Linked DNA regions of Drosophila melanogaster. Changing the gene in region 4 together with the main gene of any one other region gives a genetic interaction. Each region holds a gene or a part of one and is shown on either strand. Other genes may lie near its edges.

Region 1 (10,449 bases), on a different chromosome or scaffold from region 4:
GTTTTGTTTTGTATTCTTTTTGTTTCTTGTATTTAGCAACTACAAATACTTTTCTATATTATTAATATGTTTCTTTGTTGCGCAAGGTAAGAGATGATGAAGAAAATTGTTTGCGATTGCGATGGAGAACTCAAAACGAAAGGCGAAAAACAGAAATCCACCAAATTCCCGTTCGATTGTTCGGTTTCGTTTCATGTGATTTGACCATGCATGGGTGTGTGAGTGTGAATATGAGTGCGAGTGTGAGAGAGCAAGGAAACGCTAAGAGAAAACAAACGGCTCGTATGCGTAATATGGGTGTCTGTGTGGGTGGTGGGTGTGTGTTAGTCTGCGCGTGTGTGTGTGTGTCTGTGAGGGTGTGTCGGTGTTATTGAACAGTACACTTACATACATACAAATTTAAGCTTAAGAATTCGTTTTGAATTTCGCTTAACTAACATTCCTTTTTCTCATTTAATATAGTTTTTAGCTTTTTGCGTCTTTCATTCTGTTTGCTCATTTCGTTTCGTTTACTCCATTTACGTTTTATTCATGTATTAAATTTAAATTAATTGCTGTATTTTTTCCTTACATTTTCGACTTTATGTTTTACTTTTACGTTTGCGCTTATTAAATCGTTTTTCATTTTTATTACCTCGTTCTCACGTTTATTATTGGCTTAAAATTAAAGTTGTATTTTACGTGTTGCTGTCGTATTTAAAGTTTGTTTTAAAAATTAATGCATGCCAACTCGATGAAATTTGCTTTGTGATTTACTCTCGTGTGATTGTTTCTCAATTTTCGTTTAGTGTTTCGACTTTCGTTCTTTTTCTGCTTGTGCTTTAATGTGTTTTGTGGTTTAAATGAATTTTATTTGTTTCGTTTTTGCTTCTCATAATTAAATATAATATTTATTCAAATATAATAAAATGCTTGGTTTCTCGAATGCAAAAAATTCAAATGTAGTAGACTTGATGTTGCAGTTTTCTAACGTTAAGGAGCCAAATTGCGAAGCGACGCCAACTTAATAGTACCGCGAATTTTTTATGTTGCGATTCGATTCTGGGCCGCAGCAACAGCCGCGCCACGCCCACCAGGCCGCCCAATTTTCAAACATTTTGCTTGGATAGTTGTTTTTTTTTTCTGTTTTTGTGCTGTTGTTTTCCATGCTGTTTATTGTGGATGACAATTTGTGTTCCTGCTGCTTTGCTTGCTGTTATCATGTTGCAAATATGTTGATACACATACGGGTGCTGCTGTTGTGGTGATCGACTGCTATGGTTGTTGTTGCCGCATTGGTTCCATGTTGTTGTTCTTGAAGTTGTTGTCGTGTTGTTGTTGATTTTGTTGTTGTTGTTGTATGCATATATATTATATGGTATTATATTTACTTTAGAAGGTATATAATGTGTTTTAAATGGAAGGGCGGGGGTTTACTTAAATTACGACACGTCCTGATCCTCAACATCCTGGATTTGCTCTTTGGGCTCGCCATCACCTGCGTTGGGGTCTACTTCTTAGTATAATATTTAGAACTTAATAACGGAGCCGAACAAGTGGATGTGATATTACAACTTACCTTCTGCCTGCATATCGGACGTCCATAATGTGAGGTTGTCGCGCAGCAGCTGCATGATGAGTGTCGAGTCTTTGTAGCTCTCTTCGCTCAGTGTATCCAACTCGGCAATGGCATCATCGAAAGCGGCTTTCGCCAAGCGGCAAGCGCGGTCCGGCGAGTTGAGAATCTCATAGTAGAACACCTGCAAGGATTTTAAAATATATATATAGAAAACATATGACGACATCGTGTCTCTTCACAATCACTCACCGAGAAGTTCAATGCCAAGCCCAAACGGATGGGGTGTGTTGGTGGCAGATCGTTCATGGCAATATCGCTGGCCGCCTTGTAGGCAATCAGCGAGTTCTCTGCCGCATCCTTGCGGTCGGAGCCGGTGGCGAATTCGGCCAGGTAGCGATGGTAGTCGCCCTTCATCTTATAGTAGAATACTTTGCTTTCGCCGGATGTGGCGCATGGAATGAGATGCTTCTCGAGCACGTTCAGTATATCCGAGCAGATGTCGCGCAGCTCCTTCTCCACCTGTCCGCGGTAGGTTTTGATCATCTCCAATTTCTCCTCGGCCCCCTTGTTCTCCTCCTTCTGTTCGATCGAGGTGATGATGCGCCACGAGGCACGGCGTGCTCCAATCACATTCTTGTACGCCACCGACAGCAGATTTCGCTCCTCGACGGTCAGCTCTACGTCCATGGAGGCGACCTTCTTCATGGCCTCCACCATTTCTGTAAAGAGGACATAACAAATGAAAGGTGTGGTCTTTAGTATATAAGAGTAAATGTTTACAATAATCAAGTGTAACATCTCAAACCAAATTTAAGGGATTGCCCATTAACTAACGATTAGTTTAATCATTAGTTCGCATATATGTATATTCATTCTGCAATGCCTAAGGAAAATATACATCATTAAACAAATACTTCATTTGAGTGAGTAAGAAGTAATGTTTATGATGTAGTTTAAACAATGCTATCGGACGCTATTTTATCAACAATTTCGTAGAATACAAATGTTTGTTTGATTGTTCATATAATTTTTGAATTGCTTTCATATATTTCATGTTAAGATTAAAAATAAAAACCAAACATTTCAATTGGAAAGCCAACAAGATACATACATTATATACATTTTGCGTAGATAAATTTATCCAAGGTATGGAAGGCTTGTTATCTGGACTTTCCTCCCGCTTGTCCTTGTCCCCTCGCGACAGCCTAGACTACCTATTTTCCATTTCTTATCGCCGACACGCCCAATCCGCGATGATATATAAGTTATGCAGATATATTTATGCATAAGGTGGCGTTGCGTCTACGCCTGATTTAGCTGGTTCTGTCATACCAATACCAATACCAATACCAATACGGGGCCATCCAATCAGCCGGTGATAAGGGCTTCCGCCACATTGTTGCACCCAATCCTATCGTCCCCATCGGGGGCATCTCTATCTGCGTCTGCATCACCATCTAAAACTGCGTCATGAATCACATGTTCGGAACTCAACACGGAAGCAAACAAGGAGCTCGTTTATCAAATTAAAGTGAGTAGGTTAAGAGCTGATATCATTTGGCCATTTCATTTCCTTTTTCGAGTCAGTCAATTGAAGTCTAAATATATTTCGAAGTTCATTTAAATGCTTTTCGGGCATATGATTAGTATTTGGAATTATGCAAGATTAGTTTTTGATATCTGACCAAAGGAAATGTAAGATATTTCCGAACCAAATCATCTAAATTATCATTGCAGTGCTGCCTGTCTGGGTAAAGCCAGTTGCAGGCTAACTATCTCGGGCATATCTGGTGGCTGATAACAATACAGAGCTAGACTACACTACTATTCAAAATATTGTAATTGTAGCGCGTTTGCTGACTTGCACTGTCTGCCCTCTCTCGCTCGCACCCGCTGCCCGTCAGCTGCTGACGTATTTCGCACACCAACACCCCCATACATACACACACACTAGCACTCACACACAAAGACATCGGGACATTTGCCGACTGTCTGCTTATTAGTGCGATTTTTGTTGTAGCACGTATTTGTGAAAAATTGCCAATAAAGTTGCATGATTCACGAATATTTGTGGCTGTGATTGAACTTCAAACATTGTTGTTCGCATTGGCGGGCTGTTTGAAACCAATGTGGATGATGATGTGCACACGCATTTTACAACGCTTGCAAGCTATGCTGAGTTACGCATAAAAAATGAACTTGAGAGTGGGTAGGGAGGGGGAAGGGGAGGGGGAGCGCAGTTGGGTGGTGAAGGGTGGCTGGGATCCTTGCAACTTTAAAAGTATACAGCACATGTTGCTTAGTAGTAAGTAATCCACAACCAATTATGAGACATGCGCGTCAGACCAGTCACTAAATCATGTACATATAGCAAGGCGAAAATCAATAAACGCGTCCCAAAAATAAAGAGCCAAGTCCCGCGGGCATGATAAATCATTTGCGGAACCACGAAGTGGTAAAAAGAAATGTATGGAAACTTCTCGAATCATATGAACTTTCAGTAGAAAGTGCAAAGTTCACGAAAGTCTAGCAAATTTGGCGAAAATAGTATGGAATAGATTCTAAGTAGATTCGTGAGTAGTTGAACTACATTTGAAAAGTATTCATCTTTTTTATTATAAAAAATGATTAATCTTTTTCATAAACAAGTTGATTGCAAAGATGAGCGTGGTCATCTCAATTGTGTTGTTTTTCCAAGAAATAAGTATTGGAATTTGATAAACTAGCGACAACCCTGCAAAGGCAATCCACCACCACCCAAAAGTAAAAAGAAGTCACGCGAGCTGGAATGAAATATTGGGACGAAATAGGGAGCAAAAGGAATGGGCAGGATTTTCCACCCCCTCCTACCAACACGCCCCCAGAGATCCACCCCTCCCTTATGAGACGCCTGTGGGTGTGTCTTGCGCTCGTGTGGGTATGAGTGCGCGTGGTTTTGTGTGTGTGTGTATGTGTGTGTGTGTGAGTCGCATAAGGGCGCAGCAGCTGAAAAAACATGCGCACATACCGTTACAGCGGGCAGAGAATGTGTAATTAGACAAAGGAAGCAGCAACAACAGCCCCTAAAATGGTGCAATTTGAGCAAAAAGCGAGCAACAAACAAAACACACCTAACACCACCGCCACCCACCGCCCATCAATCAACCGTATGTATGCTACTTTTTCCACTCATTTTTTTTTTGTCTGCCTTTTGCGCATATTGACGACATTGACGAGAACGAACATCAACGGAAAAAGCAGCGCGCGACCTCGAAAAAAATGTAGATAGAACGCAGAGAGCGCAAGATGGAAAGAGCATGGAGCGGGGGATGGTGGGCGCAGGGGGCAGCACCTGAGAAAGCACACTTAAAGGCTGACGTTAATGTGTGCAGAAAAGGGGAGCAGGGGTTTGAAGAGGAGATGAGATCAGGGGCGGAGAGGGCGAGGCAAGTTCAGATTGGGGGCGCAGACATTGCCGGCTGGCGGCTTTGCCGCTCCGCTTCGCTCTCCGCCGCGCTCTTTCTCTCTCTTCGCGCGCAATGGTATTGGTGCTCCAGCATGAGCTCCACCGCAAAATGTCCGAGTGTGACAAGGCCAACGCCAAGTGCTGCACACCAACGCACACCGATGGGCGAAAATAAGAAGACAAACATGTGATACAGACACAAATATCCCCACCAGTGGTGTATGTATGCATGTATGCCCTGTTTGTGTGTGCTAATAGTTGATTGACTTCTTTGCCGCCGCCACCGCCCGTTAATGTTGTCAGTTTTGCAGGCAATTAGGTGCAGAGTACCGTTTGCAATTATTGTTGCTATAGTCGCTGCCCAAGTACAGCAGCAGGAAGGAACGGCAGACAGAGGAATCGCCAAATGTTTGTTAACTTTTTACAGCCACTGTGCAGCGTCGCCGACACTTCGACACACTAGCCATCTCGTTTTGGCGCACGCAGCGTTTATGGCAATTGGTTAAGCGCGCGCTTTTTGCAAATGCCGAATTTGCCGTCCCCCTCCCACTGCGACTTTCTTTGCATTTTGAGCTGGCTTTTTAATTAATTGGAGTATTTTTAATTAAATATAAGCAAAGGCTACAGAAGAAGCAACAATAAAAACCGCCCGGCGGACACTCATCGGCACACGCACACCTCCGTACAAACACACACACACACGCATGCATACATGCGCATAAGCATGAGTAATGCGAGAGTAACAGAAGAAGCACAGAAAAATTTTATATTTCCTTTTTTCGCATTATCAGATAGGGTTGCCAAGTGGCCGCATAACTGCTTGCAACTAGCCGCAACTAATTTGCATAAATAAAGAATTAAGCAATAGGCAGAAAGTGAGAGAGGGAGACAGCCGGCGACACAATCGATTCATTCATCGATTTTTCGCAGCAACGGCATGGTGACGACGCCGCTGCTGCGCATGAAAAGCACATTTCGTGGAAAAAAAGGGGGAGGGGGTCTGAAAGAGAGGACTGCACCTACCCCTGCCCCACAATCATTGATTTTGGGTGTGGAATAAGTGTATTTAAGAAACTAGAATCCCCAAAAAATGTGTCGTTTCTAGAAAGTTACGCCTTGACAACTACTAAGAAAGAAAAAAAAAGAACGCGAACTGGAATCAACTGCAAACAGCCCTTAGCAACCAAGGAAGAAAATAAAATGCTAGCTGCCGCGCAGCCCTTGCTCGCAACGCCAAATACACAAAATTTTCCCCTTCTAAACTAATACTATATAGTTCCAAAAAAGAAAGAGCGGAGCAAACTATTTGCTGTAAATTATAATACGCAATTCCGTTTCTTTCTCTTTTTGTGCAAAACCACGCGAATTTTTGCCGGTAAAAATCAGGTTTTACACTCTATTCATCTCTTTTCGTTCTTCCGACGCTCTGCTTCTTCTTCGGCTTCTTCCTCTTCTTACTGTTTCCTCCATCTCCCGTTCTTTTCGCAAGAAATACTACTCATCGCGACGCTGCGTCGCTTCGAATGCAGCTACAGCGATGAAAATTGAAAATTTCCATCGTTTTCTCTGGAAGAAAACCTTTTAATTGGCACATTCGGACGAAAAGCGGAGCTCTAGACTTTTTCAACGACCACGCGACGACGCAATGGATCGGGAAGACAAAAAAAAATCCCAGGCGACCCCTCCCCAAAAACGTTGGCGCTCCTCAGTCGAGAAAATTTTTTCCCTACTCTACTAGCATTTGTCTACCGTTTTCTACCATTTTTGCTACCATTTTTTTTCGGAATCACTACTCACCGTCGTAGCGCTCGGCCTGTTCGGCCAGCTTTGCCTTGTACACATTGTTCTCGCGCTCAGTCATTGTGTTGAAGCCTTTTCGGTAAAATTAATCCACAGAAAAAATTATTTAAATGCTCCCGGTACGTGCGGCGTCGATTTTGCTTGCTGCCTGTGGTTCGTCGCCTTCTTTTTTCTCTACTTCTCGAGCGGTGTGACCGTATCGGGCGGCGGTTGAAACACTAAAATTGATGGGCGATGGCCTAATGACGGACTTAAAAACGCATCACGCGTTCCGTGCGCATGCGCAAGCGATGGTGGTAAAATCGGAAAAATTTCTTTTTAAAATGGTATTTCTATCTGGATATTACTTGTGAAAATCCGTTTGTGTGAAGCTTTTATTCGGAAGTTTTAAAATGTTATAGTAAATTGACACATTTAAAAAAGCTATAGCTATAAATATGTTGTATTAAATGAACACATGAAGCAATGTCGTTAGCAGGGACTTCCACCTTTTCTGTGCAATTCAATTTGTCATTAGTCATGACATAACCCACATGCACTGCAGACTATCGATACTTATGATACTTTCGATTAGAGTATAAATTTTAAATTTTAAAATGTGACCGTTTTTTATTTTAAATAAAAGTGTTTAAAAAACAGTTAATATTTTTATGGTTTAATTTAATCCTTCTAAGTTAAAAAAATAAGCTACTAAATGCTCTTATTTAATTTCGAAGTCCGGAAGTGGTTATTTTGGCGTCCTTTGGTCACACTAGCTTTAATGTTGCAAAAAAGTTGGGGAACAACGACATTTGATATGGGAAATATGTTTAGAAACTAAACCACCAGGTCTTGCAGCAGAAACCAGAATGACTCTCAACCTGGGCGGCTGGATCCACAGCTTCACAGTGACGGACACCCAGGAGCACAAGGGCGGGTACACAATATACAAAATCACCTCGATTGTAAGTCGTTTTTTTTGGGGGCAGATGAACTGTTCCAAATAGTAAACCTCACCCACTTTTAGGTCTTCCCAAGGTCGGTACCTCAAGCTCTGACCTGCCTGGTGGTGTGGAAACGGTTCCACGATGTCAAGCGGCTGCATCGCGAGCTTAGCCGGCGCCACAAGAGTCTCCAACTACCCGGCAAGTTGCCAGTGCCCACAGATAGCACATATTTCAAGAGATTCGATGCGGCAGTCATCCAACGGCGTAAGGAGTACATCCTGCAATTATTAGACTTTGCAGCGCAGCATCCGGCGCTGTACAAGTGCTCAACCTTCACACAGTTCTTCCAGGAGACACCCTCGCCAAACGGATCGCCACTTAAGAAGCTATATGTGGAGCGATCCCTGCGGCTGCAGACGGAAGACAATGGCTGCGGAAGTGGCGGTTCGGAAACAGGAACTTGCGCTGGTGCCATAGCCGACATTTGCGATAAACTAGACTTGCCCTATGACCCACACGACGCGGGGGGCATCACGCCTCTAGATCCGCGCTGTGATAAGGAGCAAACGAACAACGAATCCCAGGCCAAAGAAACTGAAATCGAATTAGAAACGAAACAGGAGCCCAAGACAGACGTAGCGCTGACCAAGAGGGATTATCTCCGCCTTCTGACGCCCATGGCTTCCATAGAAAGCGACGACAGCGACTACATATATGAGGCGGCTCTAGAGTTCAGTCATGCCGTCCAAGCGGAGGTTAACCTGGAGTATGCCGAAGCCCACGAGAGGTACAAGCATGGTGTGGACCTGCTGCTCAATGGGGCCAAGCAGGATAGCAGTGAGGAGCGTAGATTTATAGCCAAGGCGAAGATAGCCAAATACTTGGCGCGGGCTGAGGAGATTCACGCCAATTTCCTGGCCAACGATTGTCCGACGAAGAAGCTGCAGTTCCAGCTCTCGCTGGACACGACAGACGGCGGTAGCGTGAGCCATTTGGAGTGCCCCTGGAATCAGTTGGCACGCTACAAGGTGCTGCAGATTCTCCAGGACCGTGTGATGCAGGTGCAGTGTGTGACGAAATCCCAGCAGCCGGCTGCCATTATGAAGGGCGTCGAGAAGCCGGCCAGTCACTCGCTGACCCAGAGCATCTTTCTGCCCCAGCAGGTGCCTTACATGGTCCAACTGCTGGCCTACTTTCAGTCGGAGCAGAAGATTTTTCTGCTACTGCGGCAGGCGGAGGGCGGCATGTTGTACGATTACCTGCAGAGCTACACGCCCACGAGTAGTAAGAGTGTCAATTATGGAGAGCTTTTTCCCTCGGACCAGGAGCCGGAGGAGAAGGAGGCAGAGGAGCCACCTCTGACTTCGGACAGCGATGTCAGCGATTTGGTTCGCAGCTCCCAGCAGCTTTTAAAGTCCGTAACAAACACGCTGAGCAATTTGCAAGCGGGAGTCGTTACACCCAAAAGAAATAAAAAGGTGGATCAAAATCGCATCCGAAGTAAACCCATTCCGGAGCAGTGCCTGCGTCAGTGGGCTTGCGAACTGGCCATCGCCATACACAGTCTGCACGGCAAGGGCGTTATTCTGCGCGATCTGCACATGGGCAACATTTTACTGGGCGCCAAGGGACAGCTGCTCCTGACGTATTTCTATCAGAACGAGGGTCTAACCTCGGACGACAACTATGTGCACAAGGCACTGAACTTGGAGGCAGTGGCTAATCACTTTGTGGCACCAGAAAGACCGCTCACTTTTCGCTCGGACTGGTGGAGCTACGGCGTGGTGCTCTATCAGCTTCTGCTGGGAGTTGTAAGTTTTGAGTTCTCGATTGAAAATGTTTGGATAATAGCAATCTGCTTTCTTTCCAGCCCTACAAAGTCACGCATCCCGGGCAACTGGACCTCTATGGTTGTGTTCAGTATCCTAGTGAGTCGTTGGAGATTTCCGATCATGCCAAGGATCTGCTGGAGCAACTGCTGCAGCTTTCTCCGGAGCTACGTTTGGACTACGACCAATTGCAGGCTCATCCATTCTTCAAAGGCATCGATTGGCAGGCGGTTTTGGAGCAGGGAACTGAGTCCATGTGAAAATAGGCACTATTTGCTTTGCTATTGAGTCCGTAAAGTATTTTCTTATTTCGTACTGTACCTGAAATCCCATTTGTGATTCCTTGCTCAGTTCTGATTGGCATTGATTTTGATTACTTTCAAAGAATCTGAAGTCGCTCCATAGCGATTAATTATGTTGTGAATCTGCTATATTATTTTCTATGCATTACTTTTAATACTTGTCTTCGAAAACAAGTGTATTAACCATCAGTTTTGTTTTTATGAGTCTTTTATGTTGTTCCTTTTTTGAATTGGAAGCTGATCAATTATTGGTACAAAATACGATTTATTTATACGTCTATTATATACATTTGCAAAGTGTCCTAGTTTATGTAATTGCTTACAATTAGAAATTAAACTAAATTGAATGTAGTTGTAACAAAATTTGCAAGCCATTTTACAAAATTAGTAAGTAATAAAATTTGTAAAGCCAAATGAGCTAGTATACAATATAAAAAGCACTTTATTGTCTAACTACAGCAAAAACAGCAAATGGAACTTAGTCTACGAGTAGAATAACTAAAACTAAGTTTGTTGGGCAACGAAGCTTTCCAATTTGGAGGGAGGTCACTCGTCACCCGTTTTGGTAAGGCACATTTGGAATGCATTC
Region 2 (7,421 bases), on a different chromosome or scaffold from region 4:
CGCGATTTTTCGTTGTCGTCATCGTTGTTTCGTTTGCCTCGTTGTTGTGTGTGGTGTATTGTGAGTGCGCCCCCCGTTGCCGTTGCCACCGCCGCAGACGCCTCGCCCCCCTTTTTTTTTTGCTTCGTACAGCCGTGAGCGGCTGTAAAAGTGTGCGTGGGTTTTTAAGATTATTAAAAGCGATTTTCATTTGCAATTTTGGATATTCTGCTGCCTCTTCTGGTTTTTTTCCTGCTTCTTTTTTTTTTTTGTTTTTTTTTTTTTTTAATTTTGTTCTGTTTTGTGTTTGTAATATCTGTATGGGAAAGATTTAAAGAAAATGTATCTTAAGATGTGGCCACTTTTTTGTTTCACCTTCTCGCTCGCTCGTTCGTTTGCGCTCTCTTTGGTCTTTTTGTTTTATCTATTTCTTATATCTATCTTATAAACAGTAGGCGTGTGTGGGGAGGGGAGGAGGGCATCGCAAGATATGGACGTGTGTAGCTTTATAAGCATAATATCCTATGCCTCTAGGTGGCACACCAAAAAAAAGAAAAATGAAAAAAGAAATCAAAAAAATCAAAATTTCATAAAAATACATATCTAAATACAGATGTACATGTGCTTGCACACATGTGCGTACGCTTTTGCACACCCATAAACGCGAATACACACATGTGCACACACATGCATGCAATTAGAATTGCACTTGTGCAGAAAAACAGACTATTTGCTTAGGCCCCAAGCAGATGAGAAAATACACATGTACGGGATACCATCGTCATCGTCATCGTCTTCTTCATCACCAGAAACAGAATCGGAATTAGAATCAGAATCGTCATCGCCTAGGAGCCCCATCTCAATTACGAGCTTCTCCATTAACTAACGAAGTGTAGGAAAAAGTCTAAACCAAACCTATCCCATCAATAGTTGGCTCTCCGGTGGCCATTCTTCTTTCTTCATCTTATTGCCGCAGCTGCGCCTTATTTCCACTGAAAGGCTTACTGACACATTCTCACTTTCACAAAGACCACGATATTGTACAAAGCTGCTCATACAAAATACACAGTTATATATATATGTACATATATCGGGAGAGCGATGAGAGCGGGAGAGCGAGAATAGAGTGAGATTGAGAAGATGCAGATGTGTGTGTGTGTGTTGCCTGTTTAACTTTAACGGAATCCGAAAAAGATCTTTCTCACTTCCTAAGAACTCCGAACCAATTCATGAATTATTGCAGATGTGAGTAAGTATTGCGAGTTTGCATGTGTGTGCACGCGTAGAATCGAAAAGTAAAGTAGTGCAAAAACAAGTATCGAATGAGCCACATAATCCAAAGCGAAAGGGTTTCATTTGTTCGGTTTTCGTTTGAAAGTCAGCACAAACCCCCCGCCCCCGTCAACGGACCCGTTCAAAGACGCTGCCATAACTTGTACACATGTATAATATAAATTAACAAACCGCTCCATCGTGTTATCAACGACATAGATAATAACACGCCCAGCGCAGAGCCTGAAAAACTGAAAAGCTGAAAAACAGTTACTGTTACAAGCTAATAATAATAACAAGAGTGAGTGCCTTGCCTTTGACCAGCCGGAGACGACAACAACGTTTGATGTTGTTGGTGGAGACGGTGACATCAGAGTCTAAATCTAGCGCGAACAGATTTCTTTTAATTCCGTAAACTAAGTGGACAACGCACCGTACTCGTACCGCACTCGTTCCGTACTCGTTCTCGTACTCGAAGTCGTATTCCTATTCCTCCGGGCGGGCATACTCGTGAATAGCGAAACCTAAAGGAAATCTACGAAAAAAAAGCTGGCTGCATGAAAAACATCACCAGCTCGAGCACTTGCAGCACTGGGCTGCTGCAATTGCAGAACAACCTGAGCTGCAGCGAGTTGGAAGTTGCCGAGAAGACAGAACAACAGGCAGGTCCGTTGCCCATCCGAATTACCCAGTCATACAAAGACACACCTCGTAAATCCAAACTCTATGCCATAAACCTACAACTCCACCCCCACCCCACACACCCACTCCACATCCAGCGCCCAAAAGTTTGTCGATCTCTGGTTTTTCTTTGGTGACTTTCCTCGTGGGTTCTCAATGCAAAGCACATGCACATGCATGGCGGGTTTTCATTTGAGAAAGTCACCCGAAAACGGAGACCTGAACTGCAGGGCACCTTCTCTCCATCGCTATAGAGTAAACTCTCCACCCATCTGCACATATCTCATACATATCGTACATGTAAACCATACATACATACATACATACATACATACATACCCAAATCTAAATCTAAGCGTTCTAAATCCGAAAAGAGAGGGCAAGCTGCCACCAACTTTCGATTGCCAAGATGAATAATTCAATGGATTAGTCAGGTTTAAGATAACACAGTGGTTCTTATAAGATGAATGGGGGGGGGGGGGGGGGTTAGCTCGAAAATATTTTGCCAACCGAGCGGATTTCGAAAAGAGCTTTTCTCGCATGTGTTGTTCATTTTGCACAGCATTGCATAATCTTATTTTTGGCCAGAAGCTTGTAAATGCAGTGTGGGAGACAATTCGCAGCACAAAAAAATCATATACATACGGATTTTGTCGATCTGGATTTTGGCGAAATATGTTGACATGTCCACGCGATCTGCTGTTTTACGATATATTTATTACCTCAGTTTAAGAGCCATCAACTTGTCTGCTGTTCACATATACATAGATACACATTATGAAAAGATATATGTACATATGGACATATACTTTTATTTTTATTACTTTACTGGCAATAGTGAGCAACGAAGACTAATCGAATAGCTGAATGTCCTATTGGAATCATTAAAAAAAAAAACCTGAAAAAGATTTGGTATACTTGTGGGCATTGTTTGCCACAACACTTGTTCGCAACTTGTCGGTTTTAAACAAAAACTTTCAAGCAAAACTACAATAATTCACTTACTATTTTTACTTCTGAATCGCATTCTACGAAATGAATTTTCTAAATGAGCTGTGTATATTTACAATAATATCGTAATACCTTTCTGCAAACAACGCAACTATTGATAAGTGATAAAAGAAAATGAAGTGAAAACAATGAAAAAGTCAACTTGGACAAGCCGAACACCATATACTCTACGAGTTACAACCAAAATGTATTACTCACGTTGGTATATGACCAGTTGCTATCACAGCTATGGGCTTCTGTAGCCTACGGAATGAGTATGTCATGAGTCATTGGCGAATATCTTTAAGAGCAACGAAAACATATCCGATTGTGATAAAGTTAATCGCAGTTACTTAAAAAAAAAAACAGCAAGCTCAGCCCATTTAGTTGACCGATCGTTCTTATGACTGCTGCGTTACTTACTCAATAAGTAAGTACTTACTCAATTTCCAGCATATCAATGAATGATAAATTTGAAGAACTTTTAGCAAATTATGAGTTCTTTACACAATTATGGTTTTCTGCCTTAAATTTCCTATGTTAAGTTAAACGTACGTAATTTTCCAACAATATTTGAACTATATAAACTTCAAAAGGCTTTCGGAAAATTTAAAGTTTAGTCACCTGTTTTAGCTTAAAATATCCTATATCCGATCAAAATCGTAAATATATCTAATGAACCATTCTAGTTTTCACTTCCTTCGCACATTTGTTGTCTATTTTCTAGCTGCCTGTTCTTAAACACTTGCTCTTAGAAAAGTATTTCGTAATTTCATTATTCCTTTATGTTCATTATTAACATTACCTCACATAATTTCATTAAAAGCTAAGAGGACAAAAGATTTATTATTAATTATTTTGTCGTTGCACCTCACAGAAATTCCTTTTTAACCTTTGCCAGGTTGCAAATTCGTTTGTGCTGACTTCTAAAGATTTTCGGCAGCAGAAAATGGGAGTGCGTTGCTTTAGGGGTTGAAATAATGAAAGGGCAGCGCACCGAACTCTATATGCCCTATGAATAATCAATGAATTAATACGTGTACAGTGTTTCGCTTAAGACAGTTTAAGTTCTATAGTGCAATTGTGAATAATTAAAATTTTTTACAGATCGTTATGCTGATTGAAAATATATTTGTACACTTTATAGGGTTAGAATCGCCACCTTAATTTCCTATAAAACTCTATTGACTTGGGAATAATTTGAAGACCTAAAAAATGATCTCTACATCATGTGTATTGATCTGTATTTTATGTAACCAAAAGATTATCCTTTTGATAGCACCTTCACACGAATATAGGATATATATGCTATACTAAACATATTGTCAATAATTTGATAATGCATTGCACTGTCCTTTTATATTATTTGTCACTAAAAAGATACGAACAATAATTTTTACCTGTTACGGTTTTCTGCTGAAAGTCAAAGTGCGTTTGGCTGTGTAGGGATTGCGGATCCCAACTTTGATCCTGAGTGCGCTAAGTACGTCATCATCGAGCTCCTTACCATCCCATCCAGGCACATTCTTCGTTTATATATGTATGTATGTATATGTATGTATAAGCGGATATATATATATGTATGTACATTATGTATGTGTATGCGACGGGGCATACATAAAGAAAATGAAAAAGCAGAATGCATACCATAAATTCCAATTGCCGCACAACAAAATTGCGGCTTCTAAGGGTAGGAATGGAAAAGGCAGGAAAAAGAACACACATTCCCTTATTAAAACCGAACAGAACTGAACAGAACGAGCAGCTGCGTGTTGAGTTTTCGAGGCGGAAATTGAGTTCAAGCGTAGGAAAGTCTGTTTCTAGTTTTTCTAATTGGAAATTATCCCGAACTGAACCGCTGCTGTTTGAATTCAGAAATTCTGAAATGCCATGTGATAATATTAATGCACGGTTCAGCTATTTTGTCCGTTTCATTACACTCCTTTTCGTCCTTTTGTGTGTGAGTGTGTGTGTGTGTGTGTGTGTGTTTGTGTGCGTGGAGTGCTTACGAGATTATGAAAAATGGCACATTCACCCCCTAAAACGATCCCAACCCCTGCACTGCGCCATGCATTTCCAAGCTGTGCAATATGCATTCTACTTTTTTGATAGCCAAACATACAGTCGTTTCCGTTTCGGGAAATTCTGGTATTGTGCCTAGGATAGAACTGGGATCGAACTGTCCCGACTTGTCCTGGATACTGGCGAACTGCTTCCATACGACGCCATTCTATTATTAACTACACCCATCTATACCATACTTTATTAAACTGAACTAAGTCCAGTTTCTTCTTAATATAGCAGATTAACTATGCAGTACTATACCATTATTTACTCTACTAACTACCATTGCAAGCTACATAGCTGACTACAAACTACTATTGCCTATTATACCATATATTCCATACCTTACACTATAACATTCTATTCCTTATCATATCATATATGGATACCATAGCATACCATGCCTCTGATCCTTGATAGTGTTGACTCGCCCCCTGTCTGAAGTTCCGTAGCACACCTTTACCTATGCTAGACTATAGACTATACCATACCATACCATGCCATACCATACTATACCATACCATACCATATCATACCCCTGCTGACCCAGACTCTCACTTGACGCCCCACACTGCAGGCTGGCTATTTGAAGGCTTCTACTTCCATTCTATTTTATTCTATCAATAGTACGCTGCGAGGGTATGTGCCACACTGCATTCTATCCGCTGTCTCACGAATACGAATGCCTAGAGCAACCATCCCTATAGGTTTATATGGGCGAAACACCAGGGGCAGAAAAGGAACCGGCCAAAACAAAGAATAGAAATATGTGGAAACTATACGGCACATTTCAGTTTGACGTGCGCGTTTCTCTTAACCAGACGCATTTTAGTTTTTGTTTCTTTGCCGCTGCCGTCCGGGATTGTTTTTTTTTTTTTTCACGCTGTGTGGAAGAAGCAAGGCGAATACAAAACAAAAATAAATTACAAAATAATTGAAATTATAATGATTCGATAGATATGTATATAGACTCGTACGTGTGCACACTCAGCAGTGATATGTTTGACTGAAACGATTTTCTTCGTATTCGAAAAAAAAAGAGCCCATAAGAGTTTTTTGAATCTTATTTTGGAATATCACCAGCGATATCGGCTTTACAGTGGCGCCCTTCTCAAATCATTTAGATTCCCTCGAGGAATTCAAGGAGTTATCGGGTGAGTGGATTGGCATCTGATGCTCAATTCAGTGGGATATATGCAGATGCTTTGATTCTTTTGAAAATATTCAAATATACCTAAATCTTATTGGTTTCTTTCTTGTCATTCGAGTTTCAATAATGCTAAAGCGTTGAACATTTAATTAAAATCGACTAAGAGCAAGAGTATCTCGACTCTTTGAATACTCATTACCTTTTTCAAAAAGTTTTGCACACTCGCAAGCGTAATGTTTATCAGCACTACAATACTATTTGTCAATTGAAAAGTACTATTTTCGAATTGAAAAACCATTGCAGTCTGGCTTGCCTAGTAATATAATAGAGTCTATCCTCTGTACCTGTTACATGGTGTTCCACAGACACAGCATACCCTCGAATACCCTACGCGAATACACCATCCCTTAGCTGCGCCAAATATTTTTCATCGAGTCCACCGTCCACCGGGGATGTTCGAATCCAATCCGCACTGCTTAATGCCGTTCAACCCTTTCCAAATATTCACTAAACGAAAACGTAAACAATGGTGTGTTGAAACTATTTAAGTTTCTATTCATTTGCAAAGAATTTTAATTTGCTCGTGGGCGCGGAGGCAATCGCCAAATGCGTTTCCTTTCCAATGGGCAGAGAAGTTGGGAAATCTTACTTTTTATGTGTGGCGAAAGCTTCAATCTAATTTATGAACAAATCCACTCGTTTTTTTTTAATGCGCATAGTACATACATTTAAAGCAAAGATTATCCATTTTAAGATGGAGTATCTTTGTAATCATCTTTGCTTTTGATTGGATTGTTTCAAATGTTTCATAAGGTTGAGGAAATGGGAGTAGTTATTCATTATTTGCAAAATGTTTGGAGATTATTCCTATTTGAATTTTTCTATTACAGATCTGAGATCCTTTTGGGATATTTTCGATAGTATTTCAAATTACAATAATGTGTAATGTAATGTACACTATTTTTTTTGTTATTCTAAGGTCACACTTTCATACGGCATACGTCAGTTCTTAGATGTGTGCTTTGGCATTTCTATCATTCGTATAGTAAATATTTTATTTAATTTTGCATAATGTTTTCAGTTGGACCCGGCACCATACCATCACCGTGGACACCAGTGAATGCCGGTCCTCCAGGCGCACTTGGATCGGCAGACACAAATGGCAGCATGGTGGATAGCAAAAACCTGGATGTCGGTGATATGAGCGATGTAAGTTTGCTTGTAAAGATTAAGATCAAGTCGAGGGACTGCATTTTGGAATATTTTTGAACAACGTGTTTACCCA
Region 3 (7,311 bases), on a different chromosome or scaffold from region 4:
TTTTGCCCCGTGTAACCCGGCTAAGTGGCAGGTGAACACGATCGCCGCTGAAAGAACGATCACACTCCTTTACGTATTCTTGCAGCACCTTTAAAATTCGGCACATCTTCTCCGCCTCGATGAAACGCATTTTTGAATCTTTAGACTCGTCGTTGGTATTATCCGACTGATCGGGGGCATCTAATTCCTCTTGCAGCTGCGTCTTGCCCAATATAACGATATTTCCATAGTGTGTGCGCAGGCGGGAGCAGCACTCACCAATGAACATTTCATGAAACTCTGCGATATTCTCCTGCAGACGTGGGCCCAATGCCGTCGACACTTCCTTAAGTAGATCAATGGCCTTGCTGGCGATTTCCTCGCCTCCAGTTGTAATGACCCGCCACAAGTAGTCCTTTCCTATTAGATCCTCGTTGTCCAGCATGTAACCTCTATGTATCGCCTTCAGCTTGTCCTCTTTGGAATTGACAGCCTTAAAGAAGCGCTCAAAGCACTTGATTCCGCTTTCGGTTAGTAGATGCGGATCAAGTTGCAGGATGTTGTTCTCGAAGAAGTCTTTGTTTATGCCAGGATCCAAGTCAGGCTCCTCACCCATCAACTTGCCAAACCATCTAAAACACTCCTCACGATCTGCCGGAAAAACTGCATTGACCGCCAAGCAATGCCAAATCTGCTTTGCCTGATCTGCGCACAGCCATAGCTGTCCATCTTTCAGCAGGAACTTAAGGAACTCCAGTCGCTCCGCTATTTGCACGTGATGCGGAAATCTTCCGTCAATTAGGATTCTGGTTGCATCCAGGCCTGGTGAGTCCGTTACCATTTGGCGTACCTTTTCCATGTATGCAGTCAAACTATTGGTGACCAGAATGACCAAGGAATAATCATTCTGTAGTCGTTCAATCACCTGCTGACGATTCGTACTCGTTTGAGTGCGCTGGGCATGATTTGTCGTGGTATCATATAGGCAACAAATATCCCGGATTAGACGCAAGGCGGGCAGAACCCATCCATCGCCTGACTTAAGTTCGTCAACGCACTTATCCAACCAAATGGTCTTTTGGGCATCCCGCTCCTGCGAGCAGCTGTAGTCCAAGATTTTAACGTGTGCGCCCAGCGCCTGATCAAGCACCTCTGGCGGCACCTCCTGACTGTGGGCCAGAGTCCAAAACAGCTTAAGCACCTTTTGGGCCATCACACCATTTTTGTCATCCTCAGCCAAGCGGCGTATTAGCTCAAGAAGTCTTTCCCGTTGCCGCTTATTGGCAGTGGTCATGCTGGCCTGAAATAAAAATTAATATTGTTTTCATTGTTCATGAGATTTTATATACAAACCATCGCGGAAAATGTAATAATCATAATTTAAAACTTAAACTTACTTAATACACTTTTAAAGCAGAAAACTCACCTGGAACGCCTCGAAGAGGTGATCCAGTTGCTCGGGAGTAAAGTCCCATGCAAGTTTGGCCAGTAGATCGTGAACGTTCTTCACGATTGCCTCGTGTTTGCCGGCCTGCGCTCTCCAAACTGCATCCAAATCATCCAACGTTAGTGCCTGCTCTTTAATAAGAAAGCGGATGATCTTTTCCAATTTTTCCACATACTGCGGTTGGTGTAGCGAGTCCTTGAGCACGACACCCAATACATCTGACGACTTTATCCATTGCGCCATGCGATCCGCCGTCAGCCAGTCCATTTCGTCTTCGGGCATACAGTGGGGCAAAGGTTGGGATCGATGGGAGAAATATGCGACCGAGGAGAGCACCTTGTTGATCTCATTAAGGGCATTCATCTTGCCGTTGAAGCTGGACACCTGCAGCAGACGCAGGATCATCTTTAGGCGAAACATCTCAAGATCTCGGATTAGCTCCTCCTGGCCAGTCAAGCGGCTGGCCAGTAAGCGGGCTGACTTTACAATCCCATTGATGTAGTCATTGCGTCCCTCAGGTTTCACTTCTCGCTTTAACTCCTCGTCTGTGAAGCTGTCCAGAAGGTCTAACACAACGTTCCAGGTGGGCATAAAGTACTTGGCTATAGTGGCAGGCATTAGAAGCTCATAACATTGACCGAATGGACGCAAGAGGCTGTGTATGAGGGCAAGGGTGAGGCGATTATCCTGAGCCCCATTTTCAACCCTACCCTCGACACTAATATTCTTGCCAGTGCACTTGTTTTGGTTGCGCTTCAGCAGTTCCAGTCCGATGTTAAACCGTTCCAGTAGATTGTCAAAGCCTCCCAACTGTCCGAAGCGGTTAATAAGATCCACAAGCCAGCCACGCGCATTCTTGGGCTCCGGCGGCGGACGGGCGTACATTTTGTTGCTGTCCAACTGACCCCAGATGTAGTCCGGCGCTGCGAAGCACTCCGGTTGACGGCCTGCGTTAAATGTGTTGAACTTGTTCTCCGGATCAAAAACAATAGCCAGCAAGTCAAGCAGATAGGGATTGTCTCGCTGCATGTGGATGGCGATTAGATGTAGAAGCTTGCCGCAAGACACAAGGATACAGTGGTGGATGTTATTCTTCCACGAATTCACCGCCTCGTCGGTTAGGATCTTGGCAAAGGAAGTGCTCAGTCCATTGCGATAAAACTCCACACATGGCTCGCAGTCGTGATCCACACCTGCAAATAAATTGACTTTAGAGGGTATCAAATAAATCGTTTGGACACACTTACCAGCCTGGGTCAGTTCGATGGCTGCATTTAAGAGAACCTCCAATTCCTGTTCAGGCAGCACCGGCACCACCCAACGCGGATTGGATATCTTTTGCGTTAGTGATCTCAGTTTCGTCGTGGGAAACGAGGATATAAGCTTCTCTGGAGGCCTATTTAATTAAATGGACAATTATTCAATATTAAAAATAACAAATTAAATAATACACATAAAAAAAAAAGTTCTTAGGGGGTCAATCAAAGCACACCCTTCCATAAACATTTCTGTTTATTAAATGGTTATTTCTATTAAAATAAATGCCAAAACGCATACATTTTTTTTTTTTTTTTTTTTGTAATTTTCAGTGTTAGCTTATTTTGATGGACAAGCGATAAGATAGGCCGTGGACGGGCATTCAAAATGAGATAGTAATAGCCGGGTAAGGTAATATTAGTAAAGCTTGGTAAGTTCATTGCTAAAACTGGACAGCAGCCAAGTGCACCTATCGAAGAAAAAGAAAGATAACATTTATTGCCACATTTATGGTCACTAACCAGTGGCCTGGCCAAAATCATCTGAAACATAGTTAAATGAATTACGAACATTGTGCTGGCCCAACCATAGACAAACAAAGAATGCATGTGGAAGAATTACTACGCAAAAGTAAACACACGAATGTTGGGGATCTTTAGGGGTGGCGGTCATACTGGTGCTACGCACAAAACCCGACTAATTGGGCGGAGTCATGCAAATACGGCAGCACGACCACTTACACTATTGTGATGGTGCTGTCCACGCTGTTCGCTGACAAGGAAGCGGCCACGTCATCAGAGCTCTGACTGTCTGTGGCCGGCTGTTGATCCTGGTTGCCGTCCAAGCTACCTGATCCTCCTCCTGGCAGACTCGAGTTGGCGACTGTTCCTGTGCCTGTTCCTATGCCCGATCCTGATCCGGCACTCTGCGCCGGACTCGTTGTGGTGGTTGTTGTGCTGGTGGTGCTGCTGCTTGAGCTGGGCGCTGTGCTTCCCGGCTGTCCGGTGGTGTGCCTACGAGTGTCGAACGTCATGGTGGCGGGGTATCCTCTCCAGCCAACTCGTTCTGCGGAGCACCGGAAGCGGATGTTAATGCACGAGCTCTAGTGCCGGGCTAATCCTAATGCGTTCTGCAGTGCGCGTCGTTTTTTGACTGGTGTCTTATGGCAAATGTGAGGTATCCGGGCTTCTGCTTGTCCAGTTTGGGAGTTCCCCGCTGATTTGCTGTTTCTTGAGGCACAGTTGGTCGGTTAGTTGGACTTCTTGCTCTGGGCTCCCTCTTATTGTCCTTTTTCCCAATGCCTGGTCAGCGGCCAGTTTGCAAAAATCTATAAAGTGCAACGAAGCGAAAGAGGCAATAAGAGGCGGATAAATACAGCGCTAAGAGAGAGACCGAAAAGGCCCACATGTGTACGAAGCTCAGTTTTGGGTGTGTGAGTGGTCCTGCGTGTGTGTAAGAGAGCGCTGGGTTGGAATATGAAAAATCAATATTATTTAATAGACGGGGCAGCAAGCGCCAAATAATGCTCCAAAAGCACACAAATTACGCTCTCACCCACTCACACGCACGCACGCTCACCCACAGAACCCTCTCTTTTTGTGTGTGCGTTTGAGTTTAATTTAAAATTGTTTTTGTTTTACGCCTCGCTCTTCATTCTTATTTATTTATTGTTATTTTTTTGGGCAAACAAAGAACATTTTCCTGCCGAAAATTACATCACGTCCAAGTTTACGGATTTTGCACTCACTCTCTATCTCTCTCCGCCCGGCATCATCCTTAAGCGGAATGTCGGTCGGTGGGTGGGAGCCACTGGTGGAAAAAGGGGCGGGGAAAGGGTGTAGGCGAAGGGTGGTGAAAATAACTACGCATAAAGTTATAGAAAGATGCCAAAATTAGCGGTTCATTGGGTGTGTCGAGGGCGGTAAATTGCTCACATTCTTTCTATAGCTTTAAAAGTTGTAAGAGATTAACGGAAGTCACCCAAGGACGGCGGCCAGTGCGGCTTTTTATTATTTTTCACTGTTTTTTCACGCGCACACACACTTCCTCACGCGCACGTACATTTATTTTTCGCAAATGGAATCGAGCGAACTGACGACCGAGTCCCAACTTTTCGCAGGCCTCAAAATGGGCGATTGCTCTTCCTTTCGCCTTTGCTCTGGACAGCGGGGAGCCCTTACTTGGCTGCGCCACTCGAAGCTAGTCGCGGTAACTATTTCGCGAATATTGAGCTTACAAATCAGCCGGCCAATAGACAAAATGGCGTCTGCCGTTGCTGTTGTTCTGCGGTCAACTCCAATTGCCATTGCTTTTTACCTGCCTGCCCGACGGCGAAGAGCTGCGTATCCTGCGAGCGTCGCGGTTGCGGCCACAGGGTTTTTTCTACCCGCTCGTTGTCCAATTCGCGTTAAATAAATTATATTTAAGCTATTTCTTTTGCTAGGGTTGTGCAGTTCGGGCGAACTAGTTATGAATTGAACCGGTTCGCGCGGTGCTTTTTACCAGAGTTATCAGGCCATGCCAAAAGCGCGCCTATCGAACTGGTTTATGTGGTACATATAAGGGACCCTAAATTTAAATTTCTGGCAATTGGGATTTCAAATAAAATCAAATCATTGAAATGCACTGTAAGAATGTACACTCTACTAGTCATGTTTAATTGTAAATAAATATATAAAAACATATAGTATTATTAATTTGATCAAATTAGAAAGCAGTCTTAGGGCCCATTATATAATCTGTAGAAAATAATTTCCTTATTTTTAATACATTTCGCATGTGCTTCTGATGTATTATCATTTTATAAATTAGTATTAATTTAAGTGCACGAACAACCTATTCGTTTATTCAGTGGTCCTACTGATAACGATAAGTCCGATATCGATAGGAGTATTGTTTTTATTTTGTTTAATGTAATATACAATACGAAGTAATTGTTTTGATTTCATGAGAATGTACGACGCGTTGGAACGCTGCCCAGGAGCCTACTGTGGGCGATCACCGCTAGGAAACAACAGCTGGAGCAGCTGCGGGGTCTGTCCCAGAGGATCTCGGGTTAATGTTCTAGCATCCTTCGGAACGGCGCCTGGAAAATAATTTACTTTTATATTGTTCAGGTGAACCAAAGTTACGCATGCTCTCCATGCCGCGACGAGTTAAGCACGTACTCCTGGCTATACCTGGGATTCATGACCATGCTGCCACTTATGATGCACTGCTTTTTCATTGACATGGACGCCAAGGATCGCAAGTGAGTGAACTAATCAAACTGGAAGAAGAACTTACTTAGTGAATTCACATAGGTTTTCGCGGAAGCAGCTGATCTTGACGGCCAGCGCTTTCGTTGAGGTTGCCATATCTGCCATCCTCGCCACCTTGCTAATGGAGCCCATGTGGGAGCTGCGCCTCTACGCCTGTGATGTTCGAAAACTTACTGACTGGTACACATTGTTTTACAACCCCAGCCCCAATTATGAGGCACGAGTCTACTGCACCCAGGAGGCAGTTTACCCATTGTAAGACCCAGCCACCCAAGGCTCCAGGTGTTCACAATAGTCACTTTAATGTTCAATTTCCAGGCAAACCATCGTGCTGGTTTTCTACTTTCTGTGCCTGGTGAACATGTTTCTCATACGCCCGCTAGTCAGCAAAATTATGGATGTGGGGGGCAGAAGCAAGGCGCCGATTTACTCGGCTCTTTACTTCCTGCCCCTGCTCACCTTTATCCATGCGTTAGGATGTGGGTTGATCTGTGAGTACTTAAGTGCTTGCTAATATTTTGGTCTTGAGATCTTTTCTTTTTCAGATTACTCCTTTCCGTACCTTAGCGTGGCCATATCCATGGTAGCCAATGCCATCCACTATTCCCTCAAACTGGATCAAACCCTAAAGGCATTGGTTCACTCGTCGGTGTGGGAGTTAAAAAACGTGGTCATCATAGGTAAGCAAAGTGCGCATTCACCATACATAAAGTATACCAGCAGCTTACTTTCCCAGCTGTGCACTGGATGTTGTTGGCCTACGGCCTCACCTCCCTGAATTACCACTATGCCTTTATGTGCTTGGTGCCCTTCCCCACACTGTTCTATATTTTGACCGTACGTTTCACGGATCCTGCCGAGTTCCGGGAGCTGGAGTCGAGAATTTGATGCGGCGACGTCCAGATGCAAATTTTTCACGCCCGGGGAACTCGTCGATCGACTGTTGTTATCTATGTGTAGTGTACGCGTCAATTAATTTATTTACATTTAGTATGTAGCTCAGACTCAGACCTGTTCCGAGTATAATTGCGGCTCTAAAAGCCGTTGAGAAACAAATTTAGGAGCAGGTCTATTTAGTGTTTTCGTCGCACAAGCTTAATTCATTCTTCGTTCTTTTCGTTTTAATTATATTTCACATTAATTATACACATATAGTAATATTAAATACAAATCATCAGTTTCCCATCTCTAAAATAGTTTTTACACAATACGTATTGCTACATATTGGATTTGGATGCCGCATTTCGCGTTTCACGTTCAGATCCTTCGTTCCAGTGTGTGAAGTCGGAGGCATCGTAGTCGTCTTTGTCGTCATCGTCGTAATATTCCCATATCGTAGAAAAAATAACAGAAGTCAAGGACAAGGTG
Region 4 (7,469 bases):
CGTGAACACCGAGTCGCGTCGAGAACGAAGAAATACCACCGCAACCCAACCACGAAACAACCAAGTGAACCACCCACCGCAAAACCACCAAAGCACCTACCATGGGCCAGACTTCCAGTCACCGGCAGATGCACCACAGTAGCAATAACAACAACAAGGAGGAACCACCACAACCGGCTTCACAGTTTGGAAATCGTCGAACCTCTACCCGCAAATCGACTTCGTCTTCGAAACATTACCCCACATTGGTGCAACCATTGCGTAAGGATGAGCTCTCTCTCCTGCGAGATTCACTTCTGCGCAATGGAAGCATTATGCGCAAGAACCCGGAACGTCGTCCGGTAACGATCAGTGAGCTGAAACCAGTTAATACCGGGCAGGGGACTTCGGGTAGTGTCCTGCCTATTACAGCAGAGGATGCTGCTGGTGGGAGCAGTAGTAGCATCACCCAACTAATGGCCTTCCAACTGCCCGTGGATCGAAGTGCCAAGACTGACGACCTGGCTGCCGAATCCTCGGCTTCAGCAGCAGCAGCTGTGGCGCCCAAGGAGGGGCGCAATGAGTTTTATATTGTGGGAGATGGCTATCATCGGACGGATCACTGCTACTATCGCAGTCCCAATGGCGATTTTCACAAACTGCCATCCGACTCCTTTCACAAGATGTCGGAGGGCTGTTTCGTCCGAATGGCCGATGGGGTCTTCCGTCGCCTGGAGGTACCCACCAAGGCTCAAATATCCCGAAGATCCAGCAGGGCAGAGGAAATAGGCGATGCCACAAGCCAGGGAAATGGAAGTGCCGCCACCAATGTTAAGAGCCAACTGATGAGATTTCTAAAGCGCTCCAAGAGCCACACGCCCGCCACTATTGCCAAGTTGCAGCGGGAAAAGGAGGAGGCCCGAGCGGAACGCAAGCAACGGCTATCGAACGCCCTGCGGCAGAAGAATCTAGCGGCCACAAATGCAGCCTCAGCTGCGGCGGCGAACTCATCCTACGCAAGCGGTGGTGGTGGTGGCACCGTAAGCAGTCGGAACAATAAGATTGTGGTGACAATGATCGAAAACGGCGGCTTGCCCATTGTGGCCACCAGTAAGGCGGAAAGGCCCAAGGCCAAGGAGTCGGCATCATCCAGTGACAAGGCTCGCAACTCGAGGGTATGTAATATTGGATATAAATTTATCGATATTATCGATGGTTGCTTACATTTTATCGAAATCCATCGACGGTAACGGTAACCCGTTAGATACTATTGCATAATTAATATAATAGAAGATATAGGAGGATTTATATTGGGAGCTTGCGATATTGGCAATTATGTGATTTAGAAACTTTCCTAGGCTCTTGAGCAAAACTACACTTGACCTTGCTACTTCATTTCAAAAGAGTGGGGCAATAAGGTTATATTTGTTGTGATTAAAGTTTGTCGGTCTCTCACACTTCCCCATTCATTTATGAACATTGCAAATTTATCGTTGTTGTGCTGCCACCTTCATTCAATCTAATCGTAATCGCTGTTTCGTTTTTGTCTGTATCTGTCACGGTTTTTGGTTTTTTTTCCACAATCGAATGAATAACGATTTCTATTATTTTGATTACGGATTTTGTTTAATTTCAGATTTTTGTTACCCCACATTGAATTCCTATAATCCATATGGAAACTAATATATATTTTCAGTCTAATCGCACAAGTGCTACATAAAAACCCAACGCAAATACGTTTAAAGATTAGGGGATTATAGGGATTACGGGCTCTCTGTTTCTATAACTATACGATTGCATTGTCCGGAGGACAAGTTCATAATAGTTGACCTCATTAGATTTTCCTGTTAGCTAGCATGCGAAAAATGAAATTCTATCTTTAATGTTTTTGTTTGGGACCTGAAAGGCTTGACTGAAATCTCGCTGTCTTGTCTTAATGTAGATTAAGCTGCAAGTTATTCAATTAGCTTAATTAATACGGACACTTTATACAGGCTCAGCTACTTGATACCTCGTATGAATAAATTAAAACCAAACTTGGCGAGTTACAAATTGACAGAATGATCGAATTTCATATGAGACACTTTTTGATATCTTAAAATGAGAGTTTCTCTATTTTCCAGATTATTTATTTTTAAGTATACCTAATGTGTTTCGTTTATGTCGTATCACTCGTGTCTCTATATATTTTATTCACAAATTTTATTGTGTCGGCTGACAAATGACTTACAATTATTTGACGACAAGATGTTCATAATAATGTTCTTTCGGGATTGCATTTTTAGTACCAAACTGTGTGTATTCCTCGGTCTTTGTATTCTGGTGATTGATATAGAGTAAAACAGGGGAACGGGGGAAGTTGATTAGTGAAATCTTCGCGACGACCGTAGAATTCCGACTCAGACTTCAGACATCATGTCCTTTTGGTTTTATTACTTAGAACTCTTACGTAATGCATCACCTAATCAACTGATTAACTTTAAAGGAAGCAGTTGAACTTATTGGGTAATTGATTGATTTTAATAGAAAACCAAAGTCCAACCGAATGTTACTTTAATCGCAGTAAATCAGGGAAGAAGCGCTTTGCGTAACTTGGTGGAACTTATATATTGCGCACATGCGCAGAACACTAAACCCTGCAGCAAACACGGCTAACAGTTTCTTTCCCAGCGTTACGCTCAGTGGTACTCGCACACTCATACACTCTCAAAACTTTCGAGCTCCAAACGGGGCTTCTCTTTGTGGGAGAACAAGTACACAGATGCAGATACGGATAGAGATACTGTATTAATGGTAGTAGTGCTCCACCAGTGGAGAGAGCTGCCCACTGATCGTGTGCTTGTGCTGGTGTGTTGGTGTATTAAGGCCGACGCCGCTGCCGCAGTCGACGTCGCTGCTCGAAGCGATTCCGTGCTTTTGGAATACTCCGCGCTCTCGCTCTCCGGCACTCCAGTTCCAGTTGCTGAGTGGCCAAGTGGCTCTTTGGCTGCTGAGCCCTGTTTAGCTTTGTTTTTCGGTGTCTTCTGTGTTTTGCTGTTTTTTGTTGGTGTAAATCGTATAGTTGTAGTCGTAGCCTGTCGACGACGTTTACGTCAGAGTTGCAGAGGAGGAGCTATAATTTAGTACGAATACCCAAACCCCCACGTAAAATGAGTGCGAAAAATTGCGAAAGCCGCGTGCCTCTGCGATAAGATAACCGTGTGTGGTTAAAGAACTCCTCCGGCCAACGAAACGAACCTTTTAATAATCGGGATTTGCGCGAAATGTGATTTTTTATAGTCCACAGACCAAGTGAAAAAAAAAGAAAGAAAATACTCACACACTATCAAACGACCAATGTATATAGCCTAACTGTGTTTTTCAGCAGTGAAAAAGTCGGCTCAATTGTCTAAAAGTAGTTCATTTGCTTCAATGTGTTGGTGCGACCGTGCATGTGTGTGTCTGTGTGTGTGCATTGGAGCTTTTCGCTTTGCTCACTGAAGCAGCGACGAATAAAAATGGAATATAACCAGCCAGCAACTAAACGACTCGTACGGACGAATTGTTCAGATACTTGTAGATCTCCACATCGTAACTATTTAGACAGTAATTAAAAGCAACAAAGGAAAATAGCGAAAAGGCAAATGAATCATAAAACTGAAAAGAGAGCGTGGGAGAGGAGGGTGGGGGTGGGGACAGGAAAAGCGTGACACACACACGAGAGAGAGCGAGGGCATCTCAGCTGAGCTTGTGCAACAGCAGTAGAAATAGGAGAGAGCAATTTAGAGAGAGACCGAAAACAAACACACGCACAAGAGCTCACCTCCACCACAGGTGTGTAGGTGCCACTTCGCTTTTCTCTCTCGCGCACTCTCTTTTGCTATGTATGTAATTGTGTGTTTAGGTATATTGCCCTCCCTTTCACATCCCCACATCGCCTGCCGTGTGTTTATTTCAGTGTCACCGGGGAGACAGATTAGCTCTTGTCCGCCTGTTGTCGTAAATATCACGCACACACGCTTCCCGTCCGCCCATCTGTACATACATATGTACATACGTAGAAATGGAAGTTGCTAGCTGTGTGTTTAATTCATTTTCGAGGTTTTAATGCGCAACAACTGCGACTTGTTGTGTGTTGGTTAGACGACAAAAAACAAACAAAAGTAACGTTGAGAATTTAGAAAGCCCAATGCAAACGAACGCACACACAAGCACTTACTCCTGTCGGTGTGAGCTGCATTGTACTTCCGAAGCCCCAAGACCAATTTAATAATTTTCCCCAAACTCACAGTGTAAGAACAATAAACACGCCAAGCGCAACTTGAAAAAGAAATAAGAAAAAAGAAAAAGTTGCGATCTCTCCGAGCAACAAGTACTTGTGCACCAACACACTCAAGGGAAGAGTGCCACGACAAAAAAATTTAAGAGAAAAAAAACAGAAAAACCGAAATCAGCAGCAAAACGGAGGAGCTATGGAGGCCACCACTACCACAACACCTGACTTGAATCGCGGCGATGCCACCAGGAAGAGTGTCCGGCTGTATGCCGCCCGCAAGGGGGCGGCACCTGCGCCGCCCAAGCTCAGTGTGGCGCCATCTAGTAACCAGAACAGCAACCACAGCAGCAACAACAACAATAGCAGCAGTAACTTGCCGGAAACGGAAAAGGAAATGGAACTGCGTCAAACACATCTTGCCAACAAGGATCTCGATGGAGCCACCGAAGACGACAGCATAGTGGAGCTTCGACGACGTGATGCCCAAGCCACTCCATTGCCCAGGATAGCCGTATCGGCTCTACCCACCCTACAGCCGCATCCCACGCCCAAAGAACGCCAAAAGCCGCCAATGCCACGCCTTCTGTCCACCGAAGACGATGCCGGTGTGTCCTTTGCCCTCGGCTCCATCGAGAAGCACATCCATAACGTGGAGGAGAGCTTTAAGCAACAGCAGCAAAACCAACAATCCCAATCATCGATGGACGTGATGAAACTGGAGATCAAGCGCAAGCAGAGCAAGCGCTACGGTGAAACGGAAAACCTTCTGCGACCGGGCATTAGTGACATGTCCTCCGAGAATGATTTTCAGTATTTGGGCGGCAGGCGGGCAGGAGAACTGGATGACAGCAATGAGCTGATGTTATCGGAATTCCAGCGCGGCAGCGATGGTCGTAACTCGATCGGAGCCTATTCCAAGAACTCGGCTGCTGCCGCAAACGGAGCAAATGCTGTGAAGGCTAAACTGGCACGTACTGCCTCCGATACGAAGAATAATGATACGGTGCTGGCCATGAGGGCCACTTTTAAGCAGAAGCAGCACTTGCAGGACGAGAAACAGCCAGCGGTATGGCGACCAGCTGGCACTGGACCCACTCCGGCGGCCAGGAGCTCCTCCTCCACCACGTCCACCTCCGGCTCGGCCAGTCGTGGCGGTAGCAGCAGCAGCGTGGTGGATGGAGTGGCTCCATCTAAGCTTACGGCCACTACCATTTCAGCGTCTAAGCGGCGTGAGGAGAATTTGCGACAATTTGAAGCTTTGTTGGCCCAAAAATCCTCACATCGTCATGGAGCATCTGGTGCCTCGGGAACAGGAAGTAATGCAGCCAGTTCGAAAAGACGTTCGGACCGGCCGATTGTGGCTCCTATTCCTCCGTACAATTCCAGTCGAGCAGAGCATGTGACCAGCTCGACCAGACACAGCGTTGATCCAAGATCCCATTCGGGACACGAGTCGAGGTCAGGAACAGCCTCAACTCACCCGCCTGTAGGACATCATCCCACTAGCCGCGTACCCAGCGTGGTGGCAAACCGCAGCAATGTGTACAGCAACAATGCTGCGCAGGTAAACGGGATAAAAACCAAAATCCATTTTTATCTACCATATTTCAATATAATTTTCATCATTTGGTTCAGAGAAAGCAATACCACTGTGGTTTAAAATCGCATTTAATATAACTATTAATCGTTAGCAATGCGGTTTTTAAAGGGTCATAAATCAGGATTGTCACAGAAATGTTGGGTTTTATATATAAATTATAACCGACACCTGATGCACACCAAAATACATAACTTTACTTACCCCTGACCATTGTTTTTACAGGGTTCGCCTAACATGCAAATGCGGAGTAGTGCTCCTATGCGATGGCGTGCTACTGAGGAGCATATTGGCAAATACAAACTCATAAAGACGATCGGCAAGGGCAATTTTGCCAAGGTGAAACTAGCGAAACACCTGCCCACTGGCAAGGAGGTCGCCATCAAGATAATTGACAAGACCCAACTCAATCCTGGGTCACTACAGAAACTCTTTAGAGAGGTTTGTACTTAGCTTAAAAGAATACCTTGACTTATTTACTAATCGTACTCTGCCCACAGGTTAGAATAATGAAGATGCTGGATCACCCCAACATAGTTAAATTGTTCCAAGTAATCGAAACGGAGAAGACGCTCTATCTGATCATGGAGTACGCATCTGGCGGAGAAGTCTTCGACTACCTGGTTCTCCACGGACGCATGAAGGAGAAGGAGGCGCGAGTTAAGTTTCGACAAATCGTCTCAGCCGTGCAATATTGTCATCAAAAAAGAATAATTCACAGGTAAGAGTAATCAATGCTAATTAAAATCAGATGATTTATATAAACAGGCTAGGACAAACCAAAGGCCCATTATTATAGTTGGCACCTTATTAACCGGAATTATTTATTTATAACAGGGACTTAAAAGCTGAAAACCTTTTGCTGGACAGCGAACTGAACATCAAAATCGCTGACTTTGGCTTTTCGAACGAGTTCACACCCGGCTCAAAGCTGGACACGTTCTGCGGTAGCCCGCCATATGCGGCACCGGAGCTGTTTCAGGGCAAAAAGTACGACGGACCGGAGGTCGATGTTTGGTCGCTGGGCGTCATCCTGTATACGTTAGTGAGCGGTTCCCTGCCCTTCGACGGCTCCACCTTGAGGGAGTTGCGTGAACGCGTGCTCAGAGGCAAATATAGGTAAGTGTTGCAAGATAAAATGAAAGTAAATGGAACTAAACCAAACCGCTTATCCCCACAGAATTCCCTTCTATATGTCGACTGACTGCGAAAACTTGCTCCGCAAATTCTTAGTACTGAATCCCGCAAAGCGTGCTAGTCTGGAAACAATCATGGGCGACAAGTGGATGAACATGGGGTTTGAGGAGGACGAACTCAAGCCCTATATTGAGCCCAAAGCCGATTTAGCCGATCCCAAGCGGATAGGTAAGACGGGTACTGTATACAAAATTTATTACTAATATTATTAACGAATTGTGTGTGGAATGGAGTTTTGCCTGCCAATTGCTCGTTGTGTTTTATTGCTGTTATCAAGCGATCTTTGTTTATGTAATGTAATACTACTAGTTCCTTTGTAAACTCTTTCTTTATCAACTTGTTTTCATTTTGTAGTTGAATGTTGCTTACAGAATTCCTTTTACTTGGGTTCTCCCAGTGTTGCGTTATCCTGATGTTTGTATTTTAAATTCAATTACCTTC

What was found.
Region 1: of par-1 (region 4) and 14-3-3epsilon, changing one enhances a phenotype caused by changing the other (phenotypic enhancement), as found in Drosophila melanogaster (one study listed by BioGRID).
Region 2: of par-1 (region 4) and sd, changing one suppresses a phenotype caused by changing the other (phenotypic suppression), as found in Drosophila melanogaster (one study listed by BioGRID).
Region 3: changes in par-1 (region 4) and faf together harm fitness more than expected from each alone (negative genetic interaction), as found in Drosophila melanogaster (one study listed by BioGRID).

Annotation. Positions count from the first base shown.
Region 1 is NT_033777.3:18,239,261-18,249,709, reverse strand, and holds 14-3-3epsilon (14-3-3epsilon), read right to left. Parts: upstream 7,024-10,449; 5' UTR 6,865-7,023; coding exon 6,801-6,864; intron 2,278-6,800; coding exon 1,808-2,277; intron 1,740-1,807; coding exon 1,559-1,739; intron 1,496-1,558; coding exon 1,422-1,495; 3' UTR 1,131-1,421; downstream 1-1,130. Other genes in the region: CG7156 (uncharacterized protein), read left to right, coding at 7,652-7,747, 7,810-9,540, 9,600-9,818. UniProt on the Drosophila melanogaster protein: Positively regulates Ras-mediated pathways. Acts downstream or parallel to Raf, but upstream of nuclear factors in Ras signaling. Three mutants have been isolated, that suppress the rough eye phenotype caused by mutated Ras1 (sev-Ras1 v12).
Region 2 is NC_004354.4:15,812,379-15,819,799, forward strand, and holds the start of sd (scalloped), read left to right. Parts: upstream 1-2,920; 5' UTR 2,921-3,352; intron 3,353-5,772; exon of another isoform or gene 5,773-6,140; intron 6,141-7,217; coding exon of another isoform or gene 7,218-7,303; coding exon 7,304-7,345; intron 7,346-7,421. UniProt on the Drosophila melanogaster protein: Transcription factor which plays a key role in the Hippo/SWH (Sav/Wts/Hpo) signaling pathway, a signaling pathway that plays a pivotal role in organ size control and tumor suppression by restricting proliferation and promoting apoptosis.
Region 3 is NT_033777.3:31,774,871-31,782,181, reverse strand, and holds the start of faf (fat facets), read right to left. Parts: upstream 5,163-7,311; 5' UTR 5,000-5,162; intron 4,940-4,999; exon of another isoform or gene 4,618-4,939; intron 4,545-4,617; exon of another isoform or gene 4,431-4,544; intron 4,011-4,430; 5' UTR 3,717-4,010; coding exon 3,424-3,716; intron 2,823-3,423; coding exon 2,674-2,822; intron 2,620-2,673; coding exon 1,406-2,619; intron 1,280-1,405; coding exon 1-1,279. Other genes in the region: CG2126 (uncharacterized protein), read left to right, coding at 5,630-5,737, 5,800-5,933, 5,986-6,198, 6,262-6,434, 6,489-6,623, 6,680-6,831. UniProt on the Drosophila melanogaster protein: Ubiquitin C-terminal hydrolase involved in development and the imd/NF-kappa-B (IMD) signaling cascade. Required for eye and embryo development, and plays a role in compound eye assembly and oogenesis respectively.
Region 4 is NT_033778.4:19,464,541-19,472,009, forward strand, and holds the start of par-1 (par-1), read left to right. Parts: upstream 1-2,925; 5' UTR 2,926-3,101; exon of another isoform or gene 3,102-3,273; intron 3,274-4,249; 5' UTR 4,250-4,430; coding exon 4,431-5,798; intron 5,799-6,056; coding exon 6,057-6,272; intron 6,273-6,331; coding exon 6,332-6,552; intron 6,553-6,668; coding exon 6,669-6,950; intron 6,951-7,011; coding exon 7,012-7,205; intron 7,206-7,469.